2 linked regions of the Pelodiscus sinensis genome follow. The protein of the gene in region 1 interacts with the protein of each later gene in a pairwise test. Links are inferred from orthologs where the notes say so. Each region holds a gene or a part of one and is shown in the gene's direction. Other genes may lie near its edges. The genes, in order: CCNH and DUSP12.

The links.
Region 2: the proteins of CCNH (region 1) and DUSP12 interact in binary tests that used the Homo sapiens proteins (3 or more experiments, as listed by UniProt). The two-hybrid records come from large-scale screens. The link is inferred for Pelodiscus sinensis from reciprocal best matches to the Homo sapiens genes CCNH and DUSP12.

The regions. Positions count from the first base shown.
Region 1 is NC_134716.1:76,316,474-76,327,547, forward strand, and holds the start of CCNH (cyclin-H), read left to right. Parts: upstream 1-6,362; 5' UTR 6,363-6,486; coding exon 6,487-6,603; intron 6,604-6,899; coding exon 6,900-7,022; intron 7,023-9,390; coding exon 9,391-9,464; intron 9,465-11,074. UniProt on the Homo sapiens protein: Regulates CDK7, the catalytic subunit of the CDK-activating kinase (CAK) enzymatic complex. CAK activates the cyclin-associated kinases CDK1, CDK2, CDK4 and CDK6 by threonine phosphorylation.
Region 2 is NC_134711.1:141,149,978-141,161,114, forward strand, and holds the start of DUSP12 (dual specificity protein phosphatase 12), read left to right. Parts: upstream 1-5,415; 5' UTR 5,416-5,464; coding exon 5,465-5,709; intron 5,710-6,699; coding exon 6,700-6,813; intron 6,814-6,918; coding exon 6,919-7,037; intron 7,038-8,407; coding exon 8,408-8,504; intron 8,505-9,709; coding exon of another isoform or gene 9,710-9,714; coding exon 9,715-9,901; intron 9,902-11,137. UniProt on the Homo sapiens protein: Dual specificity phosphatase; can dephosphorylate both phosphotyrosine and phosphoserine or phosphothreonine residues. Can dephosphorylate glucokinase (in vitro).

The DNA.
Region 1 (11,074 bases):
AAGTAAGATGAGGCCTTTACTTTGAGATAGGGATGTAAGCAACTAGTTGAGTAGTCGACTACTCTCTTGCTGCTGTATCAGAGGCAGCAAAGGTGGGGGAGTGAGAAGTCAAGTAGTGACTCAACTACCAATAAGCCTAAACTCTTAAGCCTAGACTCGACTACCCAATAAGGTAGGAGGCTCTTACTAAATTTAAAAAGCAGAGCCACAGCAGTCTGCAGTCCCAGCTTGAGTCAGGTCCCCTGCTGCGGCTCTGCCTTTTAAATACAGTAAGAGCCAGGCAGCTTTTTCTACATTTAAGAGGCAGAATTGCAGCAGTCCTGGAGCTGGCGTGAGTCGGGATTGCTCTGTCCCAGCTTATTCCACTCGTGGGAGCTAACCCTCTTATCGACTAATCCAGTAGTCAATGGAAATTCCATCGACTACTTGATTAGCTTATTAACTGCTACTTAACATCCCTATTTTGTGACAACATGCTTTTTTTACTTTGGGACAATATTCTCTTTTAATGATTGACTGGCTATTTATACCCACAATTCCTACGACTATGTATCCTATCACAGTCATTCCATGAATAAATTAGGCAAACAAATGTGCACCTATTTTGGAATCTATGGTTTTGAAAAAAAGAGAATATTTTGTTATAGCAAATGATTTTCAATGAAGAAATAATGCTTTTTGGTACGGAGAAGTAACAGTTTCAGTGCATGGCTACTGAACACTGTTCTCCATTTGGTTTGGAAAGAGTAGACACTAACCATATTTCAGGTTATCAGAAACCGCCTTAAGCCCTCACCTTGAAAACATTTACATACATGCTTAACCATAAGCCCTCAATTATCCTACTGATTTCAAGCATTTGTATGCTTGCAAAATATTAAGCACATATATACACATTTACAGGATTGGAACCTGGTTATTAAAAGTGAAATTTACTCAAAAGTGCAGAAGGCCCACACAATAGTCTTCTCACATATTAACCATCACTCACACAACTCAATAAATTTTTGGATAGAAGAGGTGGGTAAGGGATGTATTTGAATCTGAATGCTCACTAGGTAGCTTCTTGAATGCCTCGGTTGAGATGCATCAATCAGATGAGTATTATTGTTCTACAAAGGTTTAGCACATGCTTACTGAAAACTTTGGTCAGTTTGAAATGAGCTTTCACAGACTGGGAAAGCCTTCCAGCTTGGCCCCAGTCCTTACCCCCACTAGGTCTTAGACGTGTCCAGCAGTTATCTTTGATAGGATAGCCAAAGAGAATGGATAACTAAGATTACCTCACTCCCCGCCCCCCCCCCCCCCAAACAGATTTTGCAAAAGGCAGGAAGCCTTTGTTTTCAGTCTAACTTTTCTCTCTATTTTGTGGAAAAATACAGTATTCAAGATGGGTCCCAACATCAGGTGATGTAGTCACATGTCTTGGGTGGATTTCCCTCCCGCCCACATATACCCTCCTCCCAGGCTTAAAGGAAAAACAAGTCTATTCACAGATCATTGTCCTGAGTATAGGGTCATTAAGTATTACTAATGGCCCTCGCTTAGCATGACTACATTAATAACACAGGATTATACTTCATATTTTTAACTTCAAATAAATAAATGATACATACTTACCTAATTATATCCAGCATATTACAAGTTTTCCAGTAATATCTCACATGAAGTATCTCACATAAAGCAGGTATATCATATTCATAAGCATAGTCCCATAAAACATGGAATGCCCCAACGTATTTTCCTTAGAATGTGCATTTATTAATATAGTGCCAGCTATCTCCAAACTCCCCAAATACAACCCTCTTTTTAGGCTTTAGAGTCCAAGCTGCAACTTTAAAATGCTGATACACAACTATTTTTAGGGCACTACCATGAACCTCTCTAACCTCAGTGTGTTAACCTGGATTGGGATGCTCATTTTTGCAGGCTCCAAAATACAGTAAACTTCCGATAACCCGGCACCTTTAGGATCCAGGGGGTGCCGGATTATCAGATTTGCTGGACTATCGGAAGGGGGGGCTATGAGGGGTCTGGGGTGGGAGGGGGGGATGCCTCCGGCTTCCTGGAGTCTGCCGCTGGTCAGTTTCAACAGCGGCTGAATCCAGATGCCTGGGACAGAGCAGCTGGGGCACTGCCGGGTTGGTCTGCTAGCGCCAACCCTTGGTGCTGTGGGACCAACCCGGCAGCACCCCAGCTGCTCTGTCCCAGGTGTCCCCAAGTCAGCTGCTGCTGAAACTGATCAGGGGCTGATTCCAGGAAGCCCGGGACAGAGCAGCTTTGCCTCGGGCTTCCTGGAGTCAGCCGCTGATCAGTTTCAGCAGCGGCTGAATCGGGGACAGCTGGGGGCAGTGCTATGGGACCAACCCGGCAGTGCCCCAGCTGCTCTGCCCCGGCTTCCCCGATTCATCCACTGGTCAGTTTTAGCAGCGGCTGAATCGGGGAAGCTGGGGGCAGAGCAGCTCCAATGGTCCAGCTGCCCGGAGCACTTCTGGGTTCCTGATGGTGCCGGACCATCAGGAGTGCCGGACCATCAGATGCCAGACCATCGGAGTTTTACTGTAGTGTGTAGATATATCCTTAAAAGACTCAGTTTACCCTGTGACTCAGATTTATAGAGGATTTCTATAACTTTATTCCATGAAATTAAAAAAAAAAAAAACAAATCACTTCACAAACTATTTTTCAAAAATCATGCTCTGATAATGTGTCATCTGCCAAAAAGAAAACATTAATGTTCCATCAGTAACAAGTAAATATTAAAACACAATTTGCTTATTAAAAAGTCTATTTTGCCTTTCTCTCCTGTTTTTTTTTTTCCTGCTCTTCTTCCATTTGCTTTCTCTTGTCCAGATTCTATTTCTTTACTTACACAGAATAGAACTTCACTCTATGAGAAGTGCCTTTGAACTACTCATGGAGTACAGTTGCTATCCAATATGAGTAAGGATATTAGAATCTGGCTCTTCTGGTTTACAGCATTTTCTTTTTTTAGTCTATTCTCTTTCTCACATCTCTTATTTTCTTTAACTCTCTTTCAAAAGTTAATATTTTAAATAGACTAGATTTGTGTCAGTTTCCCATATGAGTTCTGTCATCTTTTTCTCTTTAGGTGACAACTGGTACCTACATTACTCCTGGGGGATTCTGCACCAAAAAATTAAAAATTCTGTGCACGATATTTTACAAAATTCTCCAAAAGGTATTTGTCAACTTATCACTATATAATTGTCAAGTATGGGTTCTCTTGGCCAGGCCTCAGCTATAGCCAGATCTACCTCAGCAACCTCACCACCTCACATGGATAGCAACAAGGCTTATCTACCAATAAAATGGAGCTTGTCAGAGTCCAGCACTCAACACCATATATGGGCCTCACACCACACCCAAACTGCTCCCATGCCACTCCCTGAGCACAAACACCACCAAATATGGTAATAGGCAAGAACATAAAAACCTCTCTGCCCTTAGCTCTGGGAGGACTCCGGGATATTGGAAGACAGAATCTGAGTCTGGCTTAGGACTGATCACCCAAAGGCCGCCTCCCACCCACCGATCTAAAAAGTCTAAAAAGGGGTGTACAATCTCGAGCATGCTCCGTTTCCTTGTGTGTCTTTGTGTTGTTGTTGCTGAGTTTGTAAGTATTTAATTTACCCCCACTGTTGTTAAGTTGTTTAAAAGAGCCAGGTTAGAAAAAATATTGCTCTGTGGTAACTTTTACCCTTGCTATTGTCAGTGTTAAAGAAACCCTTGCTATTGTCAGTGTTAAAGAAACAGTTTTTTTAAGTGTGTATATATTTGACTTAGCTGTAACTTAGGTAGGGCTTAAAAGTTGTTGTATGGTAAATATTAGGTAGTTGTTCATTATATTAGGTAAATGTTAAGTAAATATTAGGAAGTTGTTCAGCTTAATAAATCACTCCTTCTTTAGTAAAACTTGTTGTTTTGCCATCATTCTGTATTTTCACTGGGTATTTGGCCTTAAGCCTCTGGGACTCCTGCCATTTTATCGAACCAAGAACCAACAATAATCATGCCAGTTTCATATATTTTGGTAACTTATTTCAAAATACCTGTCAGCAAGTATGTCTATAAAACGGGGGTGGACAATAAAAAAACAGCAGGCCGCGGGGTTAGTCCCTACCGGGTCACCGCCTCCATGTTTACCTATGCTTCCGCAGGTATCAGAGGATCATAGCGCTGGTTGGCTGTGAATCGCTGTTTGCAGCCAATGTGATCCTACGATACCGGCAGTGGCACAGGTAAACATGGAGGTGAGGGATTAAACGCCAGAAACTACCCCTAAAGACTGGATCCGAACCACAGGCTGGAATTTGCCCACCCTGCAATAACTATACAGATATACACATACAAACTCCCTTAAGAGTAGTGTAGAAGCTGTAGAAACCATTTTCATGTTTAGCTAGAAGCCATCTTGTATATCAGAAACCATTTCAGCTTTTCTCTCAAGCACGTAGACCAGAGTGAACTTTCTGTCACCCCGTGAGAAGAGGCCTACAGGATGGGCTATTGGTATGTGTTAATTAGGCTGGTTGGGACAGGAGATGTACTCCCTCGCACCTGTCCGCCATCTTGTTGATAAGGTTTGGTTTTTCCAAATTTAATTGAGGATTTCTGTAATTGGATGCCCTGACGTCAGACTGTTTGGCTAAGGGTATAAAGATATTAGAATTGATTGTATTAGCAGCCTTACTGGGTCTGGCTCTGCTGTGACCACGTTTGGCTCATGCTGTGCTTTATTAATTAATAAAGCTGTTTGTTAGCTGTCTAAACACAGAGGAGCGTGTTTTTGCTTCTACAGTAGATAGTTAAAGAAACCCCTATGACAACCCAGTTCCTGTTTCTCTTCCCTCTTCCCCCTATAGTTCAGCTTGTGATGAGAGATTTTGGCTCAATTGCCCAGAATGTCTTACAACACTTTAAATAGAAATCTGCAGGAACAACCTCACAAAGAGTTGAAATTCACCAGAATTATTATTGGCTTAATTGAACATGAGTGGTGATAATAACATGACCCTTTGGAATACTTAGGACAGTAATCAGTTTTAGGAATAAATCTTTAATTAAATACAAATGGAGAATAGCTTAAATTAGAAAATACAATAATGGTGGCTATAGCTAGGTTATGTAATGGAGTGGGGAATCCATAGGAATACATAGGAGCATGGGTCAGCAATGAGTCCATACACAAATATTAGGGATTGAAATTAAGTCTGTGGTAATTTTTCATAAAAATTCATATTCCAAGCTCTGTTGAAAAAAGTACATGGTTTATCTATGTACATCTTACATGTACTACTATAGTCTATGTGCAAATGGGCCGAGCCTTCAAATTCATCTAGGAGGCCAAAGTCACTGACCTACTTTCTTACCCGGGATGCCAAAGATGCACAGAATGACCTTTATCAGAGGGGTAGCCATGTTATTCTGAATCTGCAAAAGCGGCGAGGAGTCCTGTGGCACCTTATAGACTAACCGAAGTGTAGGAGCATAAGCTTTCGTGGGCAAAGACCCACTTAGTCAGATGCATGTCGTGGAAATTTCCAGAGGCAGGTATAAATATGCAGGCCAGAATCAGGCTGGAGATGAGGAGGTGGATCCAATCAAGGAGGATGAGGCCCACTTCTAGTAGCTGATCTGGAGGTGTGAATTCTTGGAATTCACTAGAAGTGGGCCTCATCCTCCTTGATTGGATCCACCTCCTCATCTCCAGCCTGATTCTGGCCTGCATATTTATACCTGCCTCTGGAAATTTCCACAACATGCATCTGACTAAGTGGGTCTTTGCCCACGAAAGCTTATGCTCCTACACTTCGGTTAGTCTATAAGGTGCCACAGGACTCTGCGCTGCTTTTGCAGAATGACCTTTGCCTTGCTTACAGGTTAGCCAGTTACAGTGGAGTGGGCCTTTGTTTCAAAGAAATTGCTGAAAAATACCCCAAATCTGCTCCTTTTTAAAGACCGCACGGTGGTACCAGGACTGCAACAAGAAACGCCAAGGACTGAGGTGCTAACTTGTGGCCAGAGTCAGTATTGACCATTGCTTTGTCTCCAGCTCTGAGCGCAAGTCCGGAGTTTTAACGTGCTCGACCTTTACCCAGCCTGCAGCGCTAGAGACTATAACTCCCAGCATGCACTGCTCGCTTACTACCCGCTTGCAGACGCCACTTGCCTCTGGGTAGAGCGCGGAACGCCGGTTAAGTCTGTCGCTGCCCATCCTGGGAATTGTAGTTTACTCGGGGCTGCACTACGGAGCTTGGTTGGGAGAAGCCGAGGCGCGCTGCACGCTGGGATCCGTAGTACACATGGGGCCCCGAGGCATGCTGGGATATGTCGGAGCTAGTTTACGCAGTGGGGTGTGAGGCTGGGCTTGAAAGCGCTCTAGTGCGTTGGTGGCGTGCGCTCGCGGGGCTGTGTGCGCTCGCGCGATCCAGGTGCCCGTTGAGGAGCGGTCGGTTGGCCGGGATGTACCACAGCAGCACGCAGAGGCGGCACTGGACCTTCCGCAGCGAGGAGGAGCTGGTCCGCTGCCGGGCCGACGCCAACCGCAAGTTCCGCTGCAAAGCGGTGGCCAACGGAAAGGTACCGATCGGCCCCGCTCGGACAGAGCCCAGGCTCGGGACTGGGGCGGCGGCGGCGGCGGCGTGTGGAGGAAGGGTCAGTCCCGGGGACCTCCTAGCTGGAGCCGGGCGCGGGGGATCCCCGCGGCGGCAGCTGTCAGCGTGTCACGAGTACTCGGCGCGGCTGCCGCTGGCTGCGAAGGGAGGGGCAGCGGCAGCAGAGCTGCGCCGGGCAGCGGGTAGGGGCGAGCCCCGGCGTTTCGGCGGGGCCCGAAGCAGCTGCCGAGCCCGCCCGGGTGACGTTGCCCGTGTCCTCAGGTTCGGCAGAACGACTCGCTGCTGCTGGAGACCCGGGAGGAGCTGACAATCTGCAAATACTATGAGAAGAAACTGCTGGATTTCTGCTCCGTGTTCAAACCTGCCATGCCCAGATCCGTGGTGGTGAGTTGGGTACCGAAAGGACGCGGCCTTTCCTTTGCAGACTGCCCCTGGCCTGAGACACCCAGACGTCCAGCACCCTCAGTAGCTTCTCGCAAGCCATGACTCTGGGGGCACTCGTCGCATCTTCTGAGCATTGGGTTTGTGGGGAATGAAAGGACTTGAGCCTTGCTGTCACCAAAAGAGCTCGGGGGAGAGGGGCTTGATATTTCCATCATTGGCTTTTTTTAGGTTTGTGCCTTTGTTTTAACTGTGGGTGGTTTCTTGTTGAGATTATTGGGTACTGCTACCAGAAACGCTAGTCCAGAATCAATGCAAGTGTGTGTGTTTTCTGATTAATGGGAGTTGGATCAGGCCAGTAGAGTTTGTGGCAAGTCTTTCAAATACTCTTGCTCAGGCTGACTCCCTTCCAGAGCAAAAGTGTAGAGGAGGAAAATTTACAACTGACTGAATCAGTTTTAGTGACTCTTGCTCTTGTGCTGTGTGTTCCTGTAGTCTGTGCATTTGCATGGCTGCTCAAGATAGATTCAGATGCTGTCTGGCTGTTCATCAGAGTGCCCACAGCTAGGTTTTTGTTTATATTGGTGGTGTACATTTTCACATGCAGTAGAAAGATTTATTCAACACATGGATGGAAAAGATTAGAGGGATCCTTGCTCTTATGTGCCAGATTATTGCATGTAAAATTGACAAAGTAAATTGATGAAAGAAATTCAGATTTAAGTTTTTTTTCTTTTGGATTCTGTGCTTGACAGACTTTATTATATTGCATTCTGTGCTACGTGTGACGAAGGTTAACCCTGTTGGTTTTGTTCTAGAAACTTACATATGTTGTGTTTTTAAAACAAAAACAAAAAAACAAACAAACTTCTCTCCAAGATAGGGATGTAATAGTATAGCTGATTAACCGATAAGCAAAAGCTTATAGGTTAACGTTATAGACTACATGCATTTCCCTCTCCCTGCCAGTAAATTTTTTAGCAGGTTGGCTAGCAGCCTGTCTCACAGTCCTGGCTTGTGATAGGTCCAAGACCTACCCCTACTGCAGCTCTGCATTTAAAATGTATTAGGAGCTGGATGGTCAGGCAGCCCAGCTCAGTCCTGTCTCACACCGGGTCAAGGAGCTCAGACACTTTTCCCCCCTGCTTCCCCTCCCCGAGACAGGGACTGCTGCCACCCTGTAGTGCTGCTTCTTCCTTAAAAGCAGCAGCGCAAGGTGACAGGCAAGCCAGGTAGCAAGGGCAGCTGGTTTTTAAACTAGCTCCCCTTGCAGACCAGCTTACACCTCTCACCCCGTGCTGCTGCCTCTAATACAGTGGCTGCTGGCCCTGCCCCCCCCCCCCGGGACTATAGACTAGTCGACTAACCGATAAAATGTCATGAGGTTACTCGACTGTTCAATTAACTGATATTTAACATCCTTAATCCAAGGCGTTACTTCTCAAACTATAGTCTGAAGTTTTTCATGTTTCAAAATATTTCATCTACAAATCTAACCAATGGAGAGGGGATTTGAGGTGTTAAGGAAAAAGAGCTCATGGAAAAAATTTTAGGTTTAAAATGGATTCAGTGGTACAAAAGGTACTTTTTCATTTAGAATTAGTGACCTGTTTTCTAGAATAGGTGGGTGGACAACAGTCAAACTTGGAGAAATCTGAATTTCTTACAAATTAACATTTTAGCTAAACATCCAACAAAAAACTCAATAGAAATAGAAACATGACAGAGTAACTGGGGGTGGTTACTGGACTGCATGTCAGTGTGTCTTTTCAAGATGCTGATGTGTAATGGATAGAGGGGAATGATGGCACAATGGTTAAGGCCCCCTTCAGTCTAGAGTTGGGTGTGTATGCTTCTTTGAGTTTGGGTTTAGCTCCTGCCCTTTGTGTCAGTATTTCTGCTGAGTAGCTTAAGTGGCTCACTACTCAGCTTGACTTACAAGGATCCCTTTAAGTGCTTAACTCTTTTGCATTCTATGGGAAGCTAAAGCGCCTTATTCAGGGCTGAGGGGTCTACTGTCCAGCAGATAACTTAAGAGTTAAATATTGCAGTAACCTCAGGATCTAGCCCTCCGTTTCTCTGCACCTCACTTCCCTGTGTGTACTTATACACCCTACTTATTTTTGTGTGGGCAGAGTGCAAGGTATAACAATACTTAATTATCTTGCAGGGTTATTGAGGATAAAATATGCTGAAGGTGGCTAGGTGCTGATTTTATGGTGGGAGCCAATAAATACCTTAGAGAAGGTTCTTAGAGAAGGTTGAAATCTGACTAGTGGATTAAAAAGTGTATATTCTCTGCATTGAACATTATCTATTTGCTGTTTGTGCTATCATGCCCAATTGGAACTTACTGACTCCTTGTATTTAGGGAACGGCTACTATGTATTTCAAACGTTTTTACCTGAATAACTCAGTGATGGAGTATCACCCTCGAATAATAATGTGAGTAATTGAGACAGTTTGAATTTTTTGTAATGTTTGTCAATATTGTCATTAGAGACGTGTTAGTACAGGGATGGCCAACCCGTGGCTCGTGAGCTGCATGCGGCTCGTGAGCTGCATACAGCTCTTCAAATTAAAAATTGTGGTTCGCGGCTCTGAAAGGGGCAGTGTGTTTCTGTCTGAAAGAGACAGAGCTGGAGTCATGCATCCCATGCAAACTTCAAAATGGCCACCTTAAAAGAGCAATGACTGCTCTCCTCTTAAAAGGGCGTTGGTGTGGGGCTTTTTTTTTTTTCTTTCTCTCCTCAATAACGTTTTTATAACAACTCTGCTCTTTGTGCTGTATCCACTACTATTTTGGCTCTTTGTCTGTAATGGGTTGGCCACCCCTGTGTTAGTATAACCATTTTAAAAATAAAAACCTGATGGGCCTGGGCCCATTGGTTAACCTTCACAGTTAAATGAAAGGCCCCACCCTGCACTGCTGCCACTGTATCAGAGGTAGCACTGTGGAGTGAGAGATGGGAGGCAGCAGCTGATACAGAGGCAGCAGCATAAATGGCATGGTGTGAGGGGCTGGAGGGGGACGTGGCTCTGCAGGAGCCGGTGTTCACAGGAGTTGGCTTAAAATTTGGTTCTCCATGCCTACTGGCTTCCGCGGAGATGCCCCCACATGGAAATGTGTAACCACTAAGGATGTTAAGTATCAGGTAATTGACTATTCGAATAGTTGATGCATTTTGCATCAACTGTTTGATTAGTTGTTAGGACACCTCTGCCTTTGAAGTACAGCAACAGCACTAGGGTTGTTGCTACATTTCAAAGGCGAAAGTGCTGTGTGGAGCCCAGGGTCAGCTGGGGACTCTCCCGCTGACCCTGGGCTCTGTGTGGCGCTGCTACTTTGAAATGCTGTAGTGGCGTTTCAAAGTGGCAGTGTCACATGGAACCCGGGGGGTCAGCAGCGGGGTGGGAGGGGGGTGGGGGGGATCGGGAGTCCCTAGCTGATGCCAGGCTCCACGTGGTGCTGCTGTTTTAAAATGCCGCATGCAGCCTAGGGACACCCAAGCTAGCCCCTGGCTACACGTGGCTTTTCAAAGCAGCAGTGCTGTGTGGAGCCCAGGGTCTGGCCCCAGGCTTCAAGTGATACTGCTGCTTTGAAGTACCCCCTCTTCTTCCCCACCCTTGCTGCCTCTATCTGATGGAGGCAGCACTTGGGGGGAAGTGACTAGTCAACTACCCAATAAGCATTTGCTTATCGATAGTTGACCAGTCTATCACTTCCCTAGTAACCACTGAAAAAATGTTCCTCCCCCCACTTTTTAACATCCCTAATTGTCATATTAGGTAACTAATAAAAGTTTGAGGATACTAAAATTCAGTATTCTTACCATTTTATATAAAGCAAGAAGCTGAATAATGAATTTTCATAGTGATCCATTTGGAAATAGGTCAGGGAGGATGGGCAATAATTTTTACAGTGGGGACATTTCACAAATTTCTGAAGTGGCCCTGCGCTGCTGCAGAAGGGGTGGGGCCAGGACACTTCCTGTACTCCCTCACCCACAGACCGTGATTGTCCTGAGGGTGGGAGAACACGTGAAGTCTTTGCC
Region 2 (11,137 bases), on another chromosome or scaffold:
GACTCAGGGGTTTTTTCGGGAAAAGTAGCCTTTTCCCGAAAAAACTTCCCCTGCGTCCAGACTCAAGCCGCGTTCTTTCGAAATTATTTCGAAAGAACGCGGCTTTTCTTTCGATGGCGGTAAACCTCGTTTCACGAGGAAGAACGCCTTCCTTCGAAAGTTCCTCTTTCGAAAGAAGGCGTTCTTCAATGTAAAGAGGCCGTCTTCGAAAGAGAGCATCCAGACTCGCTGGGTGCTCTCTTTCGAAAAAGCGGATTTCTCTTTCGAAAGATCCGCCTGCAGTCTAGACGCGATCTTTTGAAAGAGGCTCTTTCGAAAGATGCTTTCGAAAGAAGCCTGCAGTCTAGACATAGCCCAAGAGCCCTCTAAGGTGAATACTGAAAGGAAAGCTGCAGCATATTAAGGCATTGATCTTTATAACTAACTAAAGTGACCTGCAACAAGGCAGGCAAACTCTGAGCCAGGGCCAACTCACTAGTGAGCTATGACAGTGAATATGTTAGAGCGACAAGGTGGGTGAGGTAACATCTTTTATTGGAGACAGAGACAGAAGTTGGTCCAATAAAAGATATTACCTGACCCAGTTTGTTTCTCTAATGTCCTCGAATTGACACGGCTACAACAACACTGAATACAACAGTGACTGAGGCTATGTCTACACTACAATGATCTATCGGAAAAAGGTATGCAAACTGTGAAGCGCAATTTGTGTACCTTTTTCCAATAGTTTTTTCAGCCAAATTTTGGAAAAGCCTCTTCTTTCAGAAGAGCCCTTCTTCCTTGTGGGAGGAGGAAGACAGGGCTTCCAAAAGAGAGCATCTGCTCTTCCGCAAAAAAAAGTGGAAGAGCAGATGCGTTCCCTGGACATGGAAGAGTTTTTCCAGGTATCCCAGAAAACCTCCGTAGTGCAGACATAACCTAAGATGTCTGTTTCATGTAAAGACTAGAGAGCTTTGTTGGGAACTGCCAACAACTTTACTTGTTAACTTATTTTAAAGGTGAGGCACAATGTATTTGTCAGCATCTGTTCTGGGCTCCCAGAAAAGTTTTTTGCTGCAGATGCCTTTCTAAGAATAAGGGATAATGTGAAAGACATTTCAAAGGAACCCTGAAGTGGTATTTTTAAAATAGGAGTCTTTTCTTGATTTATTTGATTTGTCGCTATGCAGATCTATTTTAACTTGATTCAGTTCCAACCAACCCAATTCTTAGATCCTATGCAGCAAGTGGCTGAATTTCCTTTTCAGAATAAGACAAGCTCAAGCCTGCCCCCTGCTGACACTTTTTGCTATTTGCATACTATTCCCGGGAAAGGAAATACCAAGTATTCTTAATTTTTGAGACCTTCAGAACATAGGCTATGTTTACACTACAGAGACATCGAAGCTGCCACTGTTAATCTTCCAGGGTTCAAATTAGTGGGTCTAGCTAAAACAGCTAATTTGAACTGAGAGAGGCACTCTGGTTGATGCCAATAGACCTGCTTCCACAAGGAGTAAGGGAAGTTGAAGGGAGAACATTCTCCCTACGACTTCCTGCAGTGTGGACAGCACCAAAAGTCGAGTTAAGGTACTTCAACTTCAGCTATGCAATTAATGTACTTGAAGTTGTGTATCTTAATTTGACCTTAATGTCACCTAGTGTAGACATACCCCTAGTTACTGACTTCTGAGCACAGTGGAAGAAGAAACAAAAAAAGGATCTGTTGTTCCTAAAGCCAGTCTCAGGTGATAGAATACCCCATTTCCAGGCTACAGGTGAGGCTGATATAAGAATCCATGTACTGTTGCTTTGAAACAGTAGGAAGCCAGGCAGGAAGGAAATGGGGAAGGTAGGCAGATGCTCTGCATTGAAGAGTAGACAATGAAATATTAGGGACAAAACTGTTTTCCTTATGCAACCCAAAGGTACTGAATGACTCTGGGTTACTCTTACTATAAAACCAAATTCCCTTTTTAGTGCTGCAAGAAAACAACTTTCAGGAATTTGTTGCTATTGACACAAGAGAGCTTCTATCCTGCCCTTGGGACTCACATAGAATATGTAGCTACTGGCAGCTCCAAGAGTGGAAAGAGCCATAATCCTTCAGCTATGTAGAGGGTAGTCATGGCCACCACATGATCCCTCATACAGATCAGGCTGACTCAGTTCTGGATTCTTGAGTCTTTTTCCTGTAGTCTCAGACCTCACAAAGTCCTCCTTTCAAAGCTCTGTCCCTGCTCACCCAGCTCAATCCTACCCCATGCAACTTTATAGCATCACTGTATGTGATACAGTGAAATGTTTCTATGTGGGACACTGATGTAGCTCAGTTGTGGGGTGTGATTTTACTACAAATTTGTGTCTATCATATTGTGTATGTATATTGGGGTGGGAAAAATTCAACTTATGGGCTGAGTTCGGCTTGCCAAATTGCTGGATCAGCTCGCCACCATCCCATAGCTCAGCAGGAGCCTCAGGCAGCTTCCCTGCCTGCCAGACCCCCACACTCCACTCAAAGCGGCCAGCTGAAGGGGGCCATGTGCACCTCTGCATGTCACGCACTCAGGGGGAGAGCTTTGCATGCTTCCCTTGCCCCCAGCACAATCTCTCCTCTCCCACTGACTGGAAAACAACCAATGGGAGCTGCCTGGGCATGGGTAACGGGTATAATAGCTGGGGCAGGCAATGCCTTCCCAAATGGCCAGGCATGGCCCTGCCCACACTGCACCCCCAGAACACCTACTGTTTCTTGTACTGAAGCAGTAGGAATTCTGGGGGAGGAATGTTGATGCCCCCAAGCTTCAGCCTGTGCTCCGAAGCGGGGATTGCTTAAGCCACGCACCACCTGCCCTCCCTGTGATGCTTTGGGGCCAGAGAGGCTTGGGCCCTCCCTCCCTGTGGTGCTCCAACGCCAGGGCAGCTCAGGCTGCACCACCACCTGCTTTCTCCATGCTCCAGGACTAGGGAGGGTCAGGCTGTGCACCGCTTGTCTTCCCCATGGTGCTCGGAAGCTGGGGAGGCTCTCGTGGGACATGGGGGCTGAAGGTTTGCCCCTGTGGTGGGGGGAGCTTGGCTCCCATGTGGGGCCTCACGTGGAGAGGGTGAGGTTGGGAGCTTACCTCCCTCAGCCCTACATTCACCTTCTGCCCATAGCCTGGCCTGTGCTTGCAGTACATAGGGTTACAAGATGGCTTCAAAAAATACCGGACACACTTGTTCTCAGATGCGGGGGACCAGCCGGGAGGGGAGGGGGGCTGGCTGGGGGAAATGGGCGGGGGAGAGAACTGGCCAGCGAGAAGCAGGGATGGCCGGGAGAAGGTCGGGGGGAGCGGGGCTGGCCGGGGAAGATGGGGGGGGGGGGGAGAACCAACCAGATGGAAGCAGGGCTGGCCGGGAGGAGGCCGGGGGGAGTGGGGCTGGCCGGGAAGGAACCGGCCACCGGGAAGCAGGGCTGGCCGGGAGGGGATCGGGGGGAGCAGGGCTGGCCAGTGGGGAGCGGGGCAGGCCTCAGCCCAGCCCGGGCACATGCAGATCCCAGGGTGCTGCACATCCCATCCCGCGCATGGTCCCATAGGAGCATGAGCAAGTCTGGCCCTGGGGATTCCATCCCGCCCCGCCTCTACCCGCCTCCTCTCTACTGTGTAGTTGCGTACTGCCTGGCTGGTGTACACACTCACGCAGTGTGACTCATGCAGTCTACCAGCCAGGTAGTATGCAACTACGTACTGATGCTCATAATAATAAAACTAACCTAATTAGAAAATACCAGACATTTCTGTGTCCGGTATTTTCTCAATTTATTTCCTGGTCAGAAACCTCAAATACCGGACTGTCTGGTTCAAAACCGGACACCTGGCAAACCTAACAGTACAGGTAGTGCATGGAAGGCCATCCCATCAAGGGAGGCATGATGAGTGGCCTGAGCTGCGACAATTGCTGAGTTGCTGGCTGGGAGCCAGCTAAGATAAGCACCTCCTGGTCAGAGCCTGCACCTGGCACTCCACCCCTTCCCACACCCCAACTTTCTGCCCCAGGTGACAACCCCCTCTTACACCCTTGCCCCAGATCACAACTCCTCCCAGGCCCTGCACCCCCTTCTAAATCCCTCTTCCGGGTGAGAATCCTCTCCTGCGCCCATATCCTTTCTCAGACCTTGCACCCACTCCTGGACCCTGCCTCCCCTCCCAGACCCAAATCCCCATACCCGGATCACAATCCACTCCTTCACCCAAGCTCCCTCCTGGACTCATCACCGTGTGCTGCATCCCAATCCCTTCTGCACCCAACCACCACCCCAGACCTCTCATCTCTTCCATTAATGTAATAGAAAAGTGTGGACCTTGATTAATTACCAAATTATTGGAGTGCACCCCCCCAAAAAAATTATTGCCCCCTGTTGATATATATGCAGGTCTCAGTAGTGTATGTGAAAGGTGACCAGGTGTCCCAGTTTTATAGGGAAAGTCCCAATATTGAGGGCTTTACCTTATACAGGTGCCTATTACCATCCATCCCATTCCAATTTTTCACACTTGTTTGGTGGTCACCATATTTACTTGTGTGTTCAGATATGGTGTGTCACAGCTGGGGTGTTTGCGCTTGTGAATATGGTGCGTACATGCACAATTTGGCTGACGGGAGTGTGTTTAAGTGTTTGTGGATGGGGTGGGGGTCAATCACATATGTACAAGTGTGTGTGCGAGCAACACCCAGAGAAGGGAAAAGTGGAAACTGCCTGGGGGAAGAGGTAAGGACATCTCGCCATCAGCAAGGAGCGCCAGCCTGGAAGGTGCATTTTCATCTGTAAAAGTGTGTTGGTCATGCCAGGGGTGTGCAGTGTCAGCCTGAGACACTCTCCCGCCAAAAGCTACTGCCGCTCATGGGGGCGGCTGCTTGTGCCTGCAGGGGAGCAGGTGCAGCGCAGGCCCAGCCAGAGGGGCGAGGGGCGGAGAGGTGACACGTGGCGGAAGGAAGCAGTGGGGGCTGGTGCCAGTGAGCTGAGGGGAACTAGAGCGGAAGCCGCCATCTTGGTGGTGACAATGGGTGGAGCAGGCTGGACGCCGCCATATTGGTAGTGGCGGTAAGGGGGGGGCACAGGCCGGAAGCCGCCATGTTGGCGGGGGGGGGGGGGGAAGGAGGGGGAAGAGAGACAAAGGCCGGAGGCCGCCATGCTGGTGGTGGCGGGGAGGGGACACAGGCCGGAAGCCGCCATGTTGGTGGTGGCGGGGAGGGGACACAGGCCGGAAGCCGCCATGTTGGTGGTGGCAGGAAGAGGACACAGGCAGGAAGCCGCCATGTTGGTGGTGGCAGGAAGAGGACACAGGCAGGAAGCCGCCATGTTGGTGGTGGCAGGAAGAGGACACAGGCCGGAAGCTGCCATGTTGGTGGTGGCGGGGAGGGGACACAGGCCGGAAGCCGCCATGCTGGTGGTGGCGGTGGGGGGGCGGCCGCGCTAGGAGCGTGGCAGCGGGCGCGAGGCCGGATGGTGCCGGTGCTGCCCGGCCTGTTCGTGGGCGGCGCGGCGGCCGGGGTGGGGGCGCTGCGGGCGGCGGGGGTGGGGGCGCTGCTCTCGGTGGACGCGGAGGCGCCGCCCCCGCTGGCGGGGATCCGGGCGCTGCACATCCCCGCGCGGGACGAGCCCGGCGCCGACCTGCTGAGCCACCTGGACTCCTGCGCCGCCTTCCTCAGCGCGGCCCGGGCCGGGGGCGGCGCCGCCTTGGTGCGCTGGTGAGCGCGGGGCGGGGGTGCTGCATTGCGGGGCCTTTCGCTCCTCCATCGGCCGATACGCGCCGCCGCCTCCTCTCCCGCGTAGCGACCGCCCCGCTGCTTCTGCGAGGCGAAGGCGAAGGCGATGCTGGGAGCCGGGGATCAGATGGGGGGGTCCCCTGCTGGTCCCGGCCTCCCCAGACACTGCCGCTTTGAAACGCTGCGGGAGCCTGGAGACACCCCAGCTGGCCCCGGGCTGCATGGAGCCGGGGTCTGGCCCCGGGCTCTGCCGTTTTGAAGTACCTTCTTCTCTCCCTCTCTCCCTCCCCCCCTTCTGGTAGAGCAGTGTTTCCCAATTTTATTTGGCCATAGATCCCTTTTAAACTCGAAAGAATTTTGCGGAACCCCCACTGACTGACTGCGCGAAATCCCTGACTAACTGCGCACACAGCGCTGAGGAGAGACATCATGGTCCCCTATTTCCAGCTAAGCTGGCATTACACAGGGACACTTACCGTGGTGCAAACAAATGAAAATTGTTCTCAATAAAATTAATAAATGCTTAAATATTAAATTTTTTTTTTGGTAAATCATAAAATGTTATTGTAATGGAATTTTCTCGCGAAACCCTTATTTTCACTTTGCGGAGCTCTAGGGTTCCAGGGAACACCATTTGGGAAACCCTGTGTTAGAGGCAGCAATGGGGGGGAGTGACTAGTCAACTAGCCTGTTGACTATCCAATAAGCAAATGTTTATCCGCTAGTTTGACTAGTCCTTCACATCTCAGGCAGCTGAGCCTTGGCATCAGCCTCAAGCACTCCTCTTTTCACCTGCTGGCTTGGCCCACTCCCCTGCCAGTTGGTGCTCATGGCCCAGCTCAGCCATCAGCAGAGCCAGAGCATTAATTTCCCCCCAAGGCAGATGGGTTACAACTTAAGCGAGGCTTGACATGAATTAACTGCCCTGGTGTATTTGCCCTCGTATTGTTCACCAAGTTCTTTGTCTTTCAGCCATGCTGGAGTCAGTCGGAGCATTGCTTTAGTGACGGCCTATTTAATGAAAACCAACAATCTCACCTTCGAAGAGGCTTATGCCAAGATCAAGGCTATCAAACCTGATGCCAAGTGAGTTATTTGTCCTGCTAAGATTCCTGTCTTTTCTCGTGCGGACTAATGTGTACGATCTCCACAGCCTGAGGAACAGGCCTCTGACTTTCCCTGTGGTTCCAGAATGAACGAAGGCTTTGAGTGGCAGCTGAAACTCTATGAAGGAATGGGCTGTAAAGTTGATGTGTCCAGTGCCATTTACAAACAGTATCGCTTACAAAAGGTTACAGAGAAATATTCTGGTGAGTGAAGGTAATGTCTGACAGTGTGTTCAGGGGAGCTAAAGACCTATAGCTAAGAGTGACTGAAGACTAGACTGGCATGATTTTCCGCAAATGCTTTTAACGGAAAAGTTTTCCATTAAAAGCATTTGCGGAAAAGAGTGTCTAGATTGTCACGGACGCTTTTCCACAAAAGCACTTTTTGCAGAAAAGCGTCCGTGCCAAACTAGACATGCTTTTGCGCAAAAAAAGCCCTGATCGCCATTTTCGCGATTGGGGTTTTTTTACACAAAACAAATCTGAGCTGTCTACACTGGCCCTTTTGTGCAAAAGCTTTGTGCAAAAGGACTTTTGCCCGAATGGGAGCAGCATAGTATTTCCACAAGAAGCACTGATTTCAGACAGTAGGAAGTCAGTGTTCTTGCGGAAATTCAAGCGGCCAGTGTAGACAGCTGGCAAGTTTTTCCGCAAAGCAACTGCTTTTGCGGAAAAACTTGCCAGTCTAGACACAGCCAAGGTGTACAAGGATGGTGTATTACCTATCTCCTAGTGCAGGTACCTGATCCATGACTGAATATATTAGCGCTGTCTGAACCAGTCCTTTCGTTACACACTGCTGGTTTTAATCTAGATGAGTTTAGCAATTCTGTTGATTAACATCAGTGTATCTCAGAGCAGCTGCTCAAATACCATGGTGATTTGACCATGTAAAAATCTTGATAGTCAGAGAACTTTGCATGTTTGTATAAAATTTTGTGCACTGGAAGGCATCTGTACACCTGGACAAGATCCAGATGTGCTATTTCTAGATACAAAGTTTCTTGTAATTAGCACAGTGGAATTCCCCTTCTTTGGCATGAAAGGGTGAAGCTCAGCTCTTAGGGCTGGGATGGGCAATTACTGGCCCCTGGGCCAGATCCAGTGTACCAGGATTAGTCTCTGGCATCTCCCCCCCGCCCCATATTTACCTGCCTCTCCGCAGTTTATGCGGGATCATAGTTCCTGTTGGTAGCAGATTGTTGTTCCCAGCCAATAGGAGCTGTAATCACCTGAACCTGTGGAGGTGCAGGTAAATATAGTGGCAGCAACCCACCAGGGGCTAACCCTGGTGAACCACCGCCACTCACCCTGGGGGTCAATTAAGTGTTCAGCATTTCTCCTATCGACCCCATGCAGTAGAGATCTCCCCGCAACTCAACCTATTATTTCAACTGCCGCCACGGTATTCATGTAGCTGGAGTTGTGTAGGTTGATATCACTCCATAGTGTAGAACCACTCTCAGGAACCTCCTAAGAAGGGAGAAGGTGTGGGTAGGAAGTGTGATGGCAAAGCCATAGTGCTTTAATTACAAATCTCTGAATGACTGATTTATATCGCTCCCTCTCTGTAGAGCTGCAAAACTTACCTCAAGAAGTCTTTGCAGTTGACCCAACCAGCGTTTGTCAAACTCTAAACAGTGAGATTCTCTACAGGTGCAGAAAATGCAGGTATGGGGTGTTTCATTTCTCACAAAGTGTTACTTTGAAATGAACTCTTGTAGGGAAAATAGTCTTTTTAGCTTACAAGTTATTGGATTTGTGTCTCAGAACAGAAATACACCCTTAAGACATTTTCAATCAAAAGGATACATGGTACTTTCCTTTGCCTAATCTTTGTTTCATGATCATAAAGTCTTTCAAGCTCTGAAATCCCATAGAACCCATAGGGCTAAGTATATGCTGGCCATGTCCACATTACTGTCTATAAGTAGGCACAACTCCACTTACGTTGTTCCAGTTTACACAAAAATTAAAACTGAATTTACTAAATTGAAACTGCTCAAAATCTCAGCGGGGGATCCATTTAAATCTACATCCACAAAAACAATGAGGAGGCTTGTAGCACGTTTAAAGATCAACAGTTACTTGGGCATAAGCTTTCATGGGCAAAACCCCACTTTGTCAGATGCACCTGACTCTGAGTTTTACCCATGAAAGCTTATGACCAAATAAATCTGTTTATCTTTAAGGTCCTACGGGGTTCCTTGTTGTTTTTGCTCAAAATCTGACACTCCCACCCTCTAAGATTCTTTTAACTCCATAGGTCCATAGCTAATCTTGTTAAATTTGGCCTCTTGATCATAGGAATTTATCCTATTTCCAATTTTCTAGCTGTATATTTCCCAGACATATGTACCTAGATGATCTCGTGTTTCATTAGCTAGGAGTTTGCTAAAAGTAGCTACATAAGCAACAAAATGTAACTATGGGAAAAAGACCCAGGGCTGCATATTAGATATGCTGCGGTTGGGAGGACCCCTTCAAATGAAAAAAGAAAATATAGATTGTATGACTCCAGTCGTTTGCTGGTGCTACTACTGCCTCGTGCTATATTATTGTCCAGGTTCTAGGGATGTAAAATCCTGTTTAATTGATGAACTGCCTGAATGTTATGTTTAACCACCCCACCCATGGGCAGCCCCCCCACCTCAGACAAGGGCTGCTCCAGCCATCTGGACTAGCCTCTGCATCTGGTGGGAAGGCGTTGGGGCTGCCACAGACAGGGGCTGCTCTAGCCAGCTGCCTAGAGCAGTCCCTGCCTGAGGTGGGCCCTGCAGGCCTGGAGCAGCCCCCTGCCTATGGCAGATGATGTAACGGTTCACATCCCTACTGGTTACCTTCAGCTTTTCTCTCTCTTCTCTCATGTTCTGGAGGATAGACGTTCCCTCTTTCGTAACTCGAGCATTTTGGCCCACACTGAAGGAAGTGGACCAGCAGCCTTTGCTCACAAGAGGATTACAGATCCTGCTCAACTTCGTAATGACAGTCAGGTCAAATGTACCTCTTATTTCATTGAGCCGGTACAGTGGATGGAGCCAGTTTTGTTAGGAGTGATGGAAGGACAGGTGAGAGGAACAAGCACTTGACATTGTTACCTATGAAACTCCCTTAAGAGATGTTCTCACTTTTTAAACATTGTTTCTGTGCATCTGACCACACTCCTTAATATTGCCTGGTTTTACTGTTCTTGTGCAAGGTTGCTGTTACAGCTACAGTCCTTTCAGTCTTCACCATCTCTGAAGCTCATTAATAAACTGTAAATGTCATCTTCTCCCACCTAGTACAAGCAGCAGAGCTCCAACTTGGCAACAGTCATCAGGAGCCATTGGCCGATAGAGGGTGATACCCAAAGTAGACTGCTTCAGGTATCCTCCATGACAACAGATGATTAAGTTGTTGGACACCTTTTAATAACTCCACTGAGTAAAATTGTAAAATATGCAGCAGAAGGTGTTTTCAGAGAAACCTTGCAGAATTTCACTCACCATGTGAAAGGTTTCAGATTTTCTTTTGGTAAACTAGGTGGTGGGTTTTTTTTCTTTTTCCCCCCATTATCACCAAAATGAAGGACGGTAAGTAGATTTGATGCCTAGACTGGTGAGCCTTCATGATAGTACTAAGTTAATCCATTTCTTTGCTGCTTTCTCAGCTCTCTTCTGCCCTCTTAAAATCCCAACTTGACATTGAGTGAAATTGTACTGTCCCACATTCTGGACAAAGACGATTACATTATTCTATCTACGAAGTGCTCCTAATCAATTTCACTTAAAACTTTCCCTGTCTTTCAAACTTTCTGTGTACTTTCCCAGGCTGTTTTAATGGATTCGCATTCTTTCCCCATTTGTGTCCTTATGCCAAGTCATTTCAAACAGTTTCACTATTGTAGATGCTAACCCTCCTTTACTGTAGTTTCTGCTGCCTGGAGTAGCTTTCTTTCTCCCCATATCCTTTGACTTTACTTATTTTGTCCCTCTGCTATTTATACAACTGCATTCTACTATGTAGAGTATTTTGGGATAGTCCCACAGCATGAAATGCTATGCACAATAAGGCTTTATTGCAGAAGTTCTCAAAATATGGGTCATAGAGTCTGTGGTCTGGAGGGCCAGATTTTCAAAAAAGCTCTGCTCCCTTTTAGGTAGCTGAAAATCTGGTCACTTCATTGAAGTGCTTGAGACTTGCCATTTATAATTGAAAATAATGGGAAATGCTAAATGTCGAGAACTTCTTGAAATCTGGCTATTGTGTTTAATGCTAATCAGAAGATAAGTTGTCTCCTCCTGGCTACTGAGTGCTCTTGT